Linked DNA regions of Daphnia pulex. The protein of the gene in region 1 interacts with the protein of each later gene in a pairwise test. Links are inferred from orthologs where the notes say so. Each region holds a gene or a part of one and is shown in the gene's direction. Other genes may lie near its edges.

Region 1 (6,681 bases):
AAACACGCACTAAAATTGTGACGAAATGAAAGAAAAGAAAGAAACCTAACTGGACAGAAACCTTTGTAATGTGTTACTCCCCTCCAGTATTGGACATGAATATAAAGCACCCGGAGAACTCCATTTTCCACCTTGAGCTCTGTGGCTGTCAATTGGTTTTTTGTCAACCTGATAATAATAACAAACGTCCTCATTTCCATGCATAATAATAACGTACCAAAATTATTGATTTATTGCGTATTTTCTGTCGTTCTTGAGCTGCTGCTGACCGTTGAGAGTTTTTGATGGTGTTATTATTTTTTGTGGTATAGTTTTTTCTTTCTTTCTTTTTCGGACTGACAGGCGGCGGAAAATAATTGCGTGCTGTGCCGCAGTGGCGGGCAGCGGTGAATAACGGCCCGCGCGGACGACCGACGACGACGGCGGCCTTGTGTGTGGACTTTTGGACGAATTGCCACGAATCTCCAGGACTTACCAAAAAATATAAGAAAATGGTCATCGTTTCTCGGGTAAGTCATTCATTTTTTAAAAAAATTCCTAGTCATCTTGTTGTTACTTGGTTCATGGAGGAAAGAAAGAAAAGGCAACGTATGTCAGTCATGGAAATGTTGAATAATGGGCATGGCCGCTATTGAAATTGACATTTCTCCGCCGTGGGTGTTTGTGTAAATGTATTTACTTCATCACGCGGCTGCTGAGCACACGGCTGTTGTTGGCTGCCTGTTGGTCAATGACCCTCTCTCTCCCGGTGATGGTGTACCTGCGCTCTCTTCTCCACTGAGAGATGAACAGCAAAAAAAGCCAACGCCCGACACACGTAACATACATTGGTCGACCGCAGCCAGACATTCAGTAAAATTAAACAGCCGATGAAACTCAACAACGCGCCTTTCATATATCCGAAACGGAAGTTTTATTTCCGGTTTTGAATGGCGGGCGAGCGGACGTCCGGTTTTTAAAATATCGGCCGACTGATGATTCCTAATAAAGCGAAAGGGGGTTAGACATTTTTGTTTGGGTTGGAAAACATTTTTAGGAGAGAGAAAAAACAAAAACAAATCCAACTGTGAAACCCAGAACGAAACAACAAAGACAGACAGAAAAAAGTGACGCAATTGGGTCGCGCAGTGATGATTTTTTTTCTTCTTTTTCCGGTACACACATCTGCTGTTATGTGTTTAGGTTACACCACAAGAGTCACACAAGAGAAGTGAGACCTCCACCACCAAGATGTTGTTGCCTTTTCTTTGGTTATATTGTTCTTCCAGGGCCATATTGTGTAATAGCGCATGGACTAGAAGAAGAAGAAGAAGAAGAAGAAGAGACACCCACAAAAGTCAGTTGACGGAAGAAGGTTCAAAAACATGTACTGAAGGAGATAACGGGTTCGGCAACAGTCTGGGTATTTTCTCTTGGATGGTGCGACCGCAGTGTATAGTATATAGGAGGTCGTCATCGTCATTTACCACCGTGAAAAAGAATCGGAAAACAATATCGCAGCTAATGCTATACACACACACACACACGAGATGAGGGAGTGCGTGTGTGTGTCTCTACACACATGTGTCGTCTACCGCCAATGAACGTTTAACGATTAAGGACAACGTATTCTGAAAGATGCAACGACGCGGAACTAAAAGTCGAGAAAACTGAAAAAAAAGAAAAGAACCGGAGGTAAAACTGCTGGCTGAAGAACACAGAGAGGGAATCTGAATCTATTCAGCGAGTATAGTATATAGCTGTAACTTAATGTTTTATATATATTTTTCCCCTAGCTGCGACTCTCAGTGTGGCTGCCAACTCATTCAAAGGCGGTTGTTGGAATCTCTTTTCGTTGCAAGGCGTACGTGCTTTAGACTCTTGCGGCCATCCACCTGCTGTTCTTTTCTTATTATTATTACGTATACAGTATACCTTTTGGGCTCTGCGAGTGTTTCCAAATATCTACTAAGAAAAAGAAAAAGAAGTGGACACTGAGAAAACAGCTGACTGTTCAGGGCGGTAGCCAAGCAATAAGTGGAAAAATAAAAGAGAATGTAATCAAACAAGGAATGTTTTTTTCGTTGGGGGGATTTTTTCCCCAATCCTTGTGATACGCAATGTGTGTTTGGACTAGACGTCAGTTAATGAATGCCAATTGATCACGTGAACTTTGAGTCATTTTCATTTTTTTCCTTATCATTTGGGAAGTAGAGATAAGACGGTGTGCTGGCCTCTCCCTGCTCGCCATTATCACATCAAACAGTTTGTTCGCATCGAGTTTGAAGGTTTGACGTCGGTTGAATTCTCAAGTTTCTGATTATTCGGGAGAGTGAAAGTTTTGATTTTGGAAATTAAGGGCATACGTTGATTGTAGTTCAATCAAGTCACGATCGTCCATGGTCTCTCTGTGTTGTCGCCATTATTTGTCAAGTCGAGATTAACGTTGGCGGCTGGAAGAAAAGATGTCGGAAGAAGGCGATGGCTCGTCGACTCAGATTCTTACCTACGTGAGTTCCTAATTTTCCCTAGAACTGGTGGGCACTTGTTGCCGCGTCCAACTTTCCAAACTGCCCAGTGCCCATGTGTTTTGTTGTTATTTCGAGGTCAGCACGGTTTTCCCCTTGCCAAACAGAAGGTGGACATACGGGCCAATGATCATGTCAATGTCCCATTCTTATTGCACGACAATCCTCCGCTCTGCTTCGTCCACAATCCCGTTACAACTTCATTTTTGTCTGTTTTTTTTCTTTGTGAACCAAGTCCACCCCCCGTGGAGATTCGTTCCAATTTCGATGGAAAAATATAACAAAATGTTGTGACACTTGCTCGTTTAATATGATAATCAATTTGGAAATTAATTTCATTTCTATTAGGGCGACTATGTCTGGATCGAGCCCAGCACCAAACGAGAATTCGATGTGGCGATCGGGGCCCGGGTCGTTTCGGCCGAGGGCAAACGGATCCAGGTCGTCGACGACGACGGCAAAGTAAGTCTTATGTCACCTTTTTGTCTTTTATTTTTCCCCATCAGCCGTCAGCACGAAATGGTGAGGCAACAGCACCCCACCTTTTGTTTCAAACCGTTTCGAAATGCGTTGGTGACCGCAAGTCTCGATCTAAGCCACACAGATAAGAGCAATTTAGAACGTCACAACGTCAAATTGGTTTTCCCCTCCTCCTTCTTGTGTATTTATTTGCTTAAAAGTGTCATTCACAATTTTGTGTCACATTTTTTAAATTGAATTGCGCAGGAACAATGGCTGACGCCGGAACGACGCATCAAAGCCATGCATCCGACGTCCATTCAGGGCGTCCAGGATATGATTTCACTGGGTGATTTGCACGAGGCTGGTATCTTGCGCAATCTGCACATTCGCTACAATGAAAGCATCATATACGTACGTCATAGACTCATTTCATTGATTTATTTTTATGAGATGATCAATTGTTGATTTGATTTTTTGGTAACAGACTTACACCGGTTCGATTCTGGTGGCCGTCAATCCCTACCAGATTCTGCCCATTTACACGGCCGAGCAAATTAAAATGTACAGGGAGCGGAAAATCGGCGAATTGCCTCCGCACATTTTCGCCATCGGCGATAATTGCTACTCTCAAATGAAACGCTTTCGACAGGATCAGTGCATCGTTATCAGGTGAGACTTGTACATTGTTTAATAGATTACATAAAATTACGGTCGAAATTCCATTTCGTCTTGGTTGTTTCTTGATGTTCTCAATTCTCAGCGCACACCTGGGTTACCCGAGATTAATCATTTATTTCTTTTCTTATTGCGTTATCAGCGGTGAGTCTGGCGCTGGTAAAACTGAAAGTACCAAATTGATTTTGCAATACCTGGCGGCCATTAGCGGGAAACATTCGTGGATCGAGCAGCAAATCCTTGAAGCTAATCCCATCTTGGAAGGTATTTATTAAAATAATTCCCCTTAAAGTATGAAATGACGTCATTTGATTTGGTTAATTAGCCTTCGGAAACGCCAAAACTGTGCGGAATGACAACTCGTCTCGTTTCGGCAAGTACATCGACATCAGCTTCAACAAACACGGCACAATCGAAGGAGCCAATATCGAGCAGTACCTGCTGGAGAAATCGCGCATTGTGGCCCAGAATCCTGGCGAGAGGAACTACCACATCTTTTATTGCATGCTGGCCGGCATGACCAAAGAAGACAAGCAGAAATTCGATTTGCAGGATGCCAGCCAATACAAATACCTCACTGGGGTATATACAAGTTCAATTTATTCCCATTGTATTTGTTATATAGTGGAATGCGTTATTCAAAATTGGGTTTTTTAACATGTTACAGGGCAACAGCACGACGTGCCAGGGAAGGAACGACGCCAATGAATTTGCCGAAATCCGATCGGCCATGAAAGTCCTGCTCTTTACTGAGCCGGAAATTTCCGACATTCTTCGAGTTCTGGCCGCTCTTTTGCACCTGGGAAACGTTTCCTTCAAAGGAGTTGTCATCAGTAAGAAGTTCATTTAACATTTTGTTCACGACTCGGTAAACAAAATATTAACGTTGGAAACATTCTCGCCATTCTTCCCTTTGTCCAGGCAATATGGACGCTAGTGAAATTCCAGATCCTTCCAACGCTATTCGCGTCTCCAAGTTGCTGGGTGTTGATCCTCGAGAGATGGTTGACGCCCTTACCACTAAAACCATTTTCGCCCAGGGAGATTCAGTGGTCAGTTAATATTGAAATTGAATTCCCATTTGACAGAGATAATTGAATTGTATTTGCAGGTATCGAGGTTATCCAAAGTGCAAGCTGTAGATGTTCGAGATGCTTTTGCTAAAGGTATTTACGGGCGACTCTTCATCTGGATTGTTACCAAGTTGAACTGTGCCATCCGCAAATCCGACGAAATGGACACGAGCTCCATCGGAGTCCTGGACATTTTTGGTTTCGAAAATTTCAGCATCAACAGGTATTAAAGAATTGACTGGACACTAGTTGAAATGGCGGAATCTAATTTGTGTTTTTGGATCGAATAAAGTTTCGAACAGTTTTGCATCAACTACGCCAACGAGAATCTGCAGCAATTCTTCGTCCGACACATTTTCAAGTTGGAACAAGAGGAATACAATCAGGAGAATATCAGCTGGCAGCACATCGAATTCGTCGACAATCAAGACTCGCTTGATTTAATCGCAATTAAACAGATGAACATCATGGCACTTATCGATGAAGAATCCAAATTCCCAAAGGTAGTATTACTCGGTTAATTTCAAATAATTGTCTTTCGTTTAATAATTGGGTTTATATATAATTCGTGTTTTTTTTTCCAGGGCACGGACCAGACCATGTTGGCCAAGTTGAACAAGACTCACGGCAGCAACAGGAACTACGTGAAACCTCGTTCCGATCTGCAGGCCTCGTTCGGTTTCAATCATTTCGCCGGAGTCGTGTTTTACGACGCCAGAGGATTTCTGGACAAGAATCGAGATTCGTTCAGCGCCGATCTGATGCAGTTGGTCCACGTGACGTCCAACAAGTTTCTGCGAACGCTTTTCGCCGAAGACATTTCCATGGGCTCGGAGACCCGCAAAAAGGCGCCCACTCTGTCGGCCCAGTTCAAAAAATCGCTCGACTCGCTCATGCGGACTCTCAGCGCTTGTCAGCCATTTTTCGTGCGTTGTATTAAACCCAACGAGCTGAAACAATCGATGGTACAATAAAAAAAAATTTTTTTCATTAAAACAATTAATTCAATTGACACATATTAAAAATAACATTCCGGTAAATTCAGGTTTTCGATCGTGAATTATGCTGTCGTCAACTGCGCTACTCGGGAATGATGGAAACGATTCGTATCCGGCGGGCCGGCTATCCTATTCGCCACACATTCCGCGAATTTGTCGAACGTTACCGATTCCTCATTTCTGGATGCCCACCACCTCACAGAGTAACGATTTGAAATAATGAAATAATTTTAATTATCATTGCAGATGTTTTTAAAATGAATCGATTTGTAATTGCAGGTGGACTGTAGGCAAGCGACGGCCAGGATCTGTTCGGCCACACTGGGAAAGACGGACTACCAACTGGGTCAGACCAAAGTTTTTCTCAAGGATGCCCAGGATCTGTTCCTGGAACAGGAGCGCGATCGAGTCCTAACCAAGAAATTGGTCATCATCCAGCGTTGCATCCGCGGATGGATTCATAGACGTCGCTACGTTCGCCTCAGGAGCGCCGCTGTAGTCATTCAACGCCAGTGGAGACGTCAGGCCCAACGCAAGCGCTACCTGGAAATGCGTAGCGGATTCCTGCGGCTGCAGGCTCTCATCCGCTCTCGAATCCTGTCTCATCGCTTCCAGCACTTGCGCGGCCACATTGTCGGCCTGCAGGCCCGTTGCCGCGGCTATTTGATCCGTCGCCAGTTCCGCATGAAGACTCGGGCGGTCGTGGTCATCCAGAAACACGTCCGGCGGATGATCGCTCAACGCAACTACAAGAAAATGAAATACGAACAACGACATCGACTGGAAGCTCTCCGCTTGCGCGACCTGGAAGAGCGGGAGCTCAAGAAAGCCGGAAACAAACGCTACAAGGAAATTGCTGACCAACGTTACCGGGTATGACATCAATTTGATTTCCAACCTATAGTCCAGTTTATTTAATTGTTAATTATTTATTTGAACAGGAGAGGCTGATGGATATGGAACGTC
Region 2 (6,828 bases), on another chromosome or scaffold:
CAATCGCCATGTACGGCCAATCAATAACGGGCGACACGTTTCTCTGTCGTTTATCATCGCCCCAAATGTTTTTGCTCGATCCTTTGAGTCGTCGATTGAAAATGCTCCACATATCACAAGAGAATCTCTACAGTATAAGAGATATATCTTGTTATTTCTAAATCGCCCCCGGGAAACACCCTTGACACAAATCAAATTTGATTGGATCAAATTCAATTTCAAGTAGGTCGAAGAGTCTGCGTGTGAAAAAAACAAACAAAAAAGTTGCCGTTCCATTTCAATTGGTTCGAAAAGTGTCGACTGCAGGATCGCATCTCACACAGCGACAAGGTCTATTGATACCGAAATCATTAAAGAGTTCGTCGAGGACTTTGCACTCGGATCGATCCCGCATATGTGCTACATCCGTCAATTCATTTCGATCAATCGCATATATACTCGCGTCAAACTTCTAAAAAGAAGAAGAAGAAGGATCGATACGCCGACAGCAACTTTTACCGGTTACACGAACAAGGGGCGCAACTTCTTTATTTTTTGGGGTTTATTTTTCCGGGATCAGTTGCCCGTCGTATGACAGCCGACTGTGAGCTCAACACGAGTCGGCCGTTCACGTGCACTTCCGCTTTGCATGTGCAGTAGGGATTTTATTTTTTTGGGGTTGAATTCCCTACCTCCCAGATGACAAAGTCTCTCCCTGTTGTCGCTGTCAGAAACTTGGTGGTACGGGGGCGTTTTCCTTCTAAATGTCAGCCGGGGGAGTCGAGTGAATGGGATCTCGGGGAAACTGATGTGCCGGGGCGGACCAGCGACACACATCTTAGTCGAATCCCTCGTGATGTAACTTTCTGTTCATTGTAAAGACAACATATCCCGCCTCCCACACACGTTTACAATTCAATTGTTTTCCATTTATTATTGAATTACGTAAGATGTCGATTTTTAAATAAGAAAGAAAATAATGAAGCGACTTCCAGCGAATGGTTATTTAAGTTTATATAAAAAGGAGGGGGGACAACAATAAAAGAGGAACGAGGGCAGCAGAGATGGCGGAAGTCGACCTGGATTCATCCCGAAACCAGTCGTCTTTTTCTGACCGAGAAAATGAAAAAAGAATAATATCGCCAAGAGTTTTTGTTTGATGATGGCCTTCCATTTTGGATAAGGAGAAGAGAAAAACAGTTGGGAGGGAAATCATCTGATTCTCCAATTCCGTCGTGGCAGATGTTTTGCTGGGCGGCCGGATTCCGGTTCTTCTCGTTCCACCAGTTCTTTGTCGCGCATCTTCTCTATTTCGCTCACAAATATCACGAAATGTGTGGCAACGGGATCTTGTCGTCTCTCTCTGACACAGCCCCCACCATCAGTTATGTACACATTTTGTGTAGTATGTTACGTTTATTCTTTCTTTTTTCTCCTGGAGATGTTCAGTAAGCCCCCGGGCGGCGGGACCCCTACGCAACATCACGGCTAATGGCGAATGCATTTGGTTATTTTGTCAAATCAATTCCAACTGGGTCAAAAAATTAAATAATAATAAAATACAACCAGAATACTATTTCATCTTTTATTTTTCTGACCGGAGATGGAACACAATCGAATGCTCACGGTTTAACAATGTGCAAAGAGAGAAAGATAATAGACACACACATACAAAAAAAAAAGAGAAAGAAATGATTTGATTTTCCCATTCTTCTTTTATCATCGGAGGAGAATAACGTCAGTGTGCGGCGGAGCGCGGAATAGATCCGCACGCCATTTTCCGCCCAACAACAAAAAAGAGGCCGACAAATCCTCCAGCATTCTAAAAGATCCCGACGGAGTGTGTAGTCGTATTACATCGCCATAATAGTCAAAGAAAGAAATCAGGCGGCAAATTCAAAAGAAAAAAAGGAGGAGATACAACCGGCTGGATCGCGCCATTCTTATCTCATAAGATGTTGTATACTGTTGTGTACTGTACAACATCCATTGTGTCGTTATTGAAGGACGGGTGATTATATTACATACAGGAACGGCCTCGTTTTTGTTGGTTGGCAGAGAGAAAGTAACGACCCACACCAGACGGTATTAATCGAGTTAAAAGGAGAAAATTCGGATTAACTATATGTAACCTTTTTTTTCTTTTCTTTTCTACCTTGTAGGGAGAGGAAGAGTATTGAAATCTAGCGGATTCTTACGTGTGTAGAGCCCACAGGTGGGTGTCAGGTAGGTAGAAGAAGAAGAACGAAGGGGGGAAATGGCTCGGAAAAGAGGAATGAAAAGGAGAAAAAGAGAAAAATAACTGCTGCTGCTGCCTTACCATTCCTTTTGAGTCTCTCGTTTCGGTTTTCATTTGCTCCCCTCCTCCTCCTCCTGGACCCTCCAGGTATGTTCGTGTGTATAAGGACAGGTAGACAACACGGGCTGGTCGGCATTCCCCATTTGGCATTCAACAGATGCGCAGCCGAAACTCGCAGCAACTTGTTTCAACGCTACTCGCGAACAAAGTGAAGTTAATCGCCCAGTTAAGTGCGTGCGATATCCATCGGGATTCATTTCGTTGTTGAAATCATTTGCACCCGTCGTCCGTGAATCAATCATCCAACAGCCATGTGAACTATCGTGTATACCGCCAAGTGTTGTTCAATATAGTGAAAAAGAATGTTGCATCAGTGAGAAAACTTTGAATCGGAATATTTATCGTGAAAAAAAAAATTGCCAAACTATTTTGTGAAGGAGCGAGGATGGACAGGTTGCCGAGCAAGAGGAGCGCCGGCAGGTAAAGGAATCAAAGAAAAAAAAAGAAAAAAATAATGTTTATCGAAATTTAGAGAAAAACAAGTTGATGGAGAAGGGAACCGCATTGTTGAATGTGTATGTGGGGGCAGGTTTTCCAATAGGAGGAAATTTCCTAACGGTTTCTTGACGGGGCCACAAAAACCTTAAAAAAAAAAAACGAAAAGTTCATGTCGTTTCGCAAGGATCTCGTTTTCGTGTCTCTTAAAATTTATAGATTTTTTGTCGTACGGTATATTTTCCAATCATTACGTAAAAACAATGGGAAATTGGAAAGTTTTATTTTTTCAATTAAAAAACCGCGCCCCGCACATTTTTTTTTCACACCGAAATAAATTGGCCAAAAAAAAAAGATATTTGTAGAAAAATGATGAATTTTATTTATTTTTTTCGGCTGGAAGCGACGTGTGGAAACGGAAGCGTATAGTGGCAGTTTCATTTCCGTTGTTGTTGTGTCGGCATTTCTCGGTAATGTGGAATTTATTTTTTGAGGACACAACGGGGCAATGCGGAAACTTGTGTACCCCCACCACCACCATTATTGTGTGTGTGTCTATGTCTACCTGGGTCTGTGCTGGTGTGTCCAGGTCATACCACAGGAGGATCAAGTTCCCTGGTGGTCGAATAACACTCTTTTTTTTTTCACCTTTGTTGGCTGTGGGTCAATCTGACCCCATTTGAAAGAGTTTATACCGAAAGTATGAATGAATCCACAGTTATTTGTTTGTTTTTCGACCTAGGACGAGCTGCCCAGTCTTTGCTCTGGTGTTGTTGGTTTGCCTGAGTGTCGCCATTGACGCCGAACGTGAGTTTATCGTTTTATCCGGTTTTATTGTGTGTCGATTATTATTGCGGATATCAATTTTGGTTGTTATGTACTCTCCGCAGTCTGTGACATCGAATCCGGACAGTCCAACGTCATCCTGGACATTGAAGAGAGCCGCGGGCCACGTAATATTATAGTTCTATATAAGTTCCTGTCGCTTTTTTTTCTCTCTTTCGGTTGTTGTTATTTTCTTTCCTTTTATTTTTGGTGTGGAAAAAACAAACGAATAGAAACGAATCAGAGCACTCGGCCAAAAGTGCTGCCCATTGTTGGCGACGTGCCCGCCGGTGAAATCAGTCTGACTATAGCCAGTTCCAGCAATCCGAACGTGTTTGCCCTGCTGGGAAAAGAACTCAAATTGACGTCGCCGCTGGATCGCGATCACCAAGACATTTCTTCCGTCATCCTCCAAGTAACGAATCAACAACTTAATTCATTCATTATCTCACGGACAACTTTGATGACTCAGGTGTCGTGCACCAATTCGGCCACTGGCAGGCGGCGGAATATTCCCGTCATTGTCCGGATCTCGGATGTCAACGACAAGGCCCCCGTCTTCCTCAACAGCTCGTACAGCGTCACCATTCCGGAGGTATCAAACCAATTTCTAGGGTTTCCCATTTTGTTGAATTTCGTTTGTAAAGGCCTTGTTGACGGGATCGACTCAATGGTAAAAAGGAGGGTTGACTGTTGTAACCGGAAACGGTGGCCAGTGTTTCCTCCCATATCCGGCCCTTGTACGGTGGTCATTTGAAACGGCCAGCAGCAGCAGCCCGACAATGAGGAATTCAGCAGAGCGTGAACTGCTGGCCGCCATAATTTCCAACAGCTATTACAACTATTGAGAGCCCACTGACCTACTCTTTGATTCAATCAATTCGCCATTGTTGTTTGTTATATATAGTCTCCGGCCGGGGCTTCTCTCTTCTCTCTCCTTTTAATGTTGCCTGATGTCTCTCACTCAAATTTCCGGCCCAATAAGGGACCGTCATTTTCAAGTCGAAAGATGAGATAGAAAGAAAGCTTCTCCAGCTGGGCGTGTCAGCGACAATGGAGAGATGATAATAGAGACGTTATATGGAAGACGCCAATCGATAACTTGGCCTACATCTTTTGTTACATGGAATGTAACGTTGTTCTCTTTTGTTTTGTTATTGTCGCACAGGATCTGCCGGTGGGTGGGATCGTCATCCGCGATATTGAGGCTAAGGATGCGGATGCCGGAATCAACGCTCTGGTGGAGTACAAAGTGGTGCCCAATTCGCAACGAATGCGCAGCGGCGGAAACGTCAGCCTCTTCAATGAAACTAATCCGGCGTTGGATGCCTTCGATGGATTTGGCATGTTTGAATTTCCCGCCGCCCACATTCCCGTCCTGACTTTGCGCCAGCCCATCGACTACGAGTCGGTCCGTCGCTATTTGGTCACCATCGTCGCTTCGGTCAGACCAAACATTTTTCCGATTATTTGAATATAATTTCTAACCGGATTGTGATGGGAATATTAATGCGATGCAGGATCGAGCGCTGAATGCCCAGGATCGGCTCTCGTCGACGGCCACTTTGACGGTCAAAGTCAGTGACGTCGAAGACCAGCCGCCGGCCTTCCAATACGTCGGTTGTCCGCTCAACGATCGAGGCGTCTGCATCACTCCGAATTACACGACGACCGTAATTGATCGCATCCATCGATTATATCGTCACGCCCCTCCTAACATTTTTCTTGTCTTTTTTTTTATTATTATTTTTTTGTTCACGAAGATCATCAGTGGCGTCACGTCCGGTTTGTTGACGCTGAAGCCGGATCGAATTTTGGCTCTCGACACGGACCCTTCAAGCCTGGCACCGATCCGCTACACTTTCGGCCAGGGATCTCCGCCCAATTTCCGAGAGTACTTCGAAATCAATCCCAATTCCGGCTGGGTAAAGCAGATTAAGCCGGCCAATCGCTCAGTGGTCAACAAATTCGATTTGATCGTCAAGGTGAGCGATAGTCACAATTTTCGATCAAGTTAATGGCCAATTTCAGTTGCGGATGGATGACGTCAAACATTTTTTACTCCAGGCCGAAGAGATGACGTCAAAGAAGAGATCCTCGAGCGCCACGCTTAGCATTGAGGTGGGCAACGACAACAATTTCGCACCGCGGCTGGTTGCCGAAGCCCTGGAAGGTTTTGTGGATGAGAATTCGCCGGTGGGAACTCCCGTCATATCCGCACGAAGAAAGGGCCAACCTTTGCAGCTGAAAGTCGTCGAGGAAGACTCGGTATGATAGCCATCATCGATGGGGAGGGGGAAATAACTCGACGCCAATTGTGTGCTGGGCCTCTTGTAATCCAAGTTTCATTATTGCCTCGGTGTCACGTAGGAATCTGAGAATCCGCTTTCTCAATATGAAATCGAGCTGACGTCGGCCGCTTTCCGAGTCAACAAGGTTGGAATCATGGAAGTTGCTGTGCCCAATCTCGATCGTGACGCACCCAATCCATCGACCCTGACTTTCCAGGTAACGCCCATTCATCAATTGAAACCGAAAGTGGGATAAAATCGTGATCGCTTTTGTATTCTTTGATTCACGATGTGTGCTTGGGCTTTTCGCACGTTTCACGACAAAAAAGGCGATCGCTCGAAAAGCTGGAGGAGCCACTACATCACCCATTGCCATTTCGATTCGAATTTTGGACGTGAACGATAATGCCCCACGGTTTCCATCGTTTAAACCCGTCTTTCTTCAGGCGGGCGATTCGAAAAAAGTGGTGACTCAGGTGAGTGCAGTTAGCAATCTCACTCCTAGATGACGTGGTGTTCATTGTTTTTACAACTTTTCGTGTGGCCTCTTTCGCCTCGTTTGCTTGCATTTGAAAATAACTAGGTTCAAGCCGAAGACAAAGATTGGGCTGATAATGGCCGCATTGAATATGCTGTGGTGGACGTCACGAATAACGGAAAGAACAAGTTTGTCATTAATCCGCAAACCGGAGTTATTGATTCTGCTGGAGCCCTGAAACCTGGGGAGAAATTTACACTAACTCTCCAGGTTTGTCTAAAACTACTTTGCAGTTTGCCTAAAATTTTTCTCCCTAAATCTGATGATTTAATCACTTTCCATCTCCACACACAGGCAACAGATGGAGGGGGTAAATCGTCTTTGGGGCTGCTGGAAGTCATCATCATTCCAGGACCGAACATTCAAGCACCAGTTTTTACTAAAGACTCGTATGAAATTTC

Evidence for each region. The genes of interacting proteins can lie anywhere in the genome.
Region 2: the proteins of myosin-VIIa-like (region 1) and cadherin-99C-like interact in binary tests that used the Drosophila melanogaster proteins (3 or more experiments, as listed by UniProt). The link is inferred for Daphnia pulex from reciprocal best matches to the Drosophila melanogaster genes ck and Cad99C.

The regions. Positions count from the first base shown.
Region 1 is NC_060022.1:1,965,771-1,972,451, forward strand, and holds the start of myosin-VIIa-like, read left to right. Parts: upstream 1-2,233; 5' UTR 2,234-2,444; coding exon 2,445-2,489; intron 2,490-2,855; coding exon 2,856-2,969; intron 2,970-3,233; coding exon 3,234-3,380; intron 3,381-3,453; coding exon 3,454-3,638; intron 3,639-3,786; coding exon 3,787-3,908; intron 3,909-3,969; coding exon 3,970-4,226; intron 4,227-4,311; coding exon 4,312-4,477; intron 4,478-4,565; coding exon 4,566-4,696; intron 4,697-4,755; coding exon 4,756-4,940; intron 4,941-5,009; coding exon 5,010-5,220; intron 5,221-5,301; coding exon 5,302-5,682; intron 5,683-5,762; coding exon 5,763-5,918; intron 5,919-5,994; coding exon 5,995-6,588; intron 6,589-6,656; coding exon 6,657-6,681. UniProt on the Drosophila melanogaster protein: Myosins are actin-based motor molecules with ATPase activity. Unconventional myosins serve in intracellular movements: can function in cells as a single-molecule cargo transporter.
Region 2 is NC_060025.1:3,448,310-3,455,137, reverse strand, and holds the start of cadherin-99C-like, read left to right. Parts: upstream 1-2,402; 5' UTR 2,403-2,723; coding exon 2,724-2,758; intron 2,759-3,515; coding exon 3,516-3,580; intron 3,581-3,663; coding exon 3,664-3,726; intron 3,727-3,831; coding exon 3,832-4,013; intron 4,014-4,070; coding exon 4,071-4,193; intron 4,194-4,766; coding exon 4,767-5,042; intron 5,043-5,118; coding exon 5,119-5,271; intron 5,272-5,361; coding exon 5,362-5,583; intron 5,584-5,665; coding exon 5,666-5,866; intron 5,867-5,968; coding exon 5,969-6,106; intron 6,107-6,218; coding exon 6,219-6,365; intron 6,366-6,472; coding exon 6,473-6,637; intron 6,638-6,721; coding exon 6,722-6,828. UniProt on the Drosophila melanogaster protein: Cadherin that functions in epithelial morphogenesis and the intestine epithelial immune response. Essential for female fertility. Regulates the length and organization of apical microvilli in developing follicle cells and salivary glands.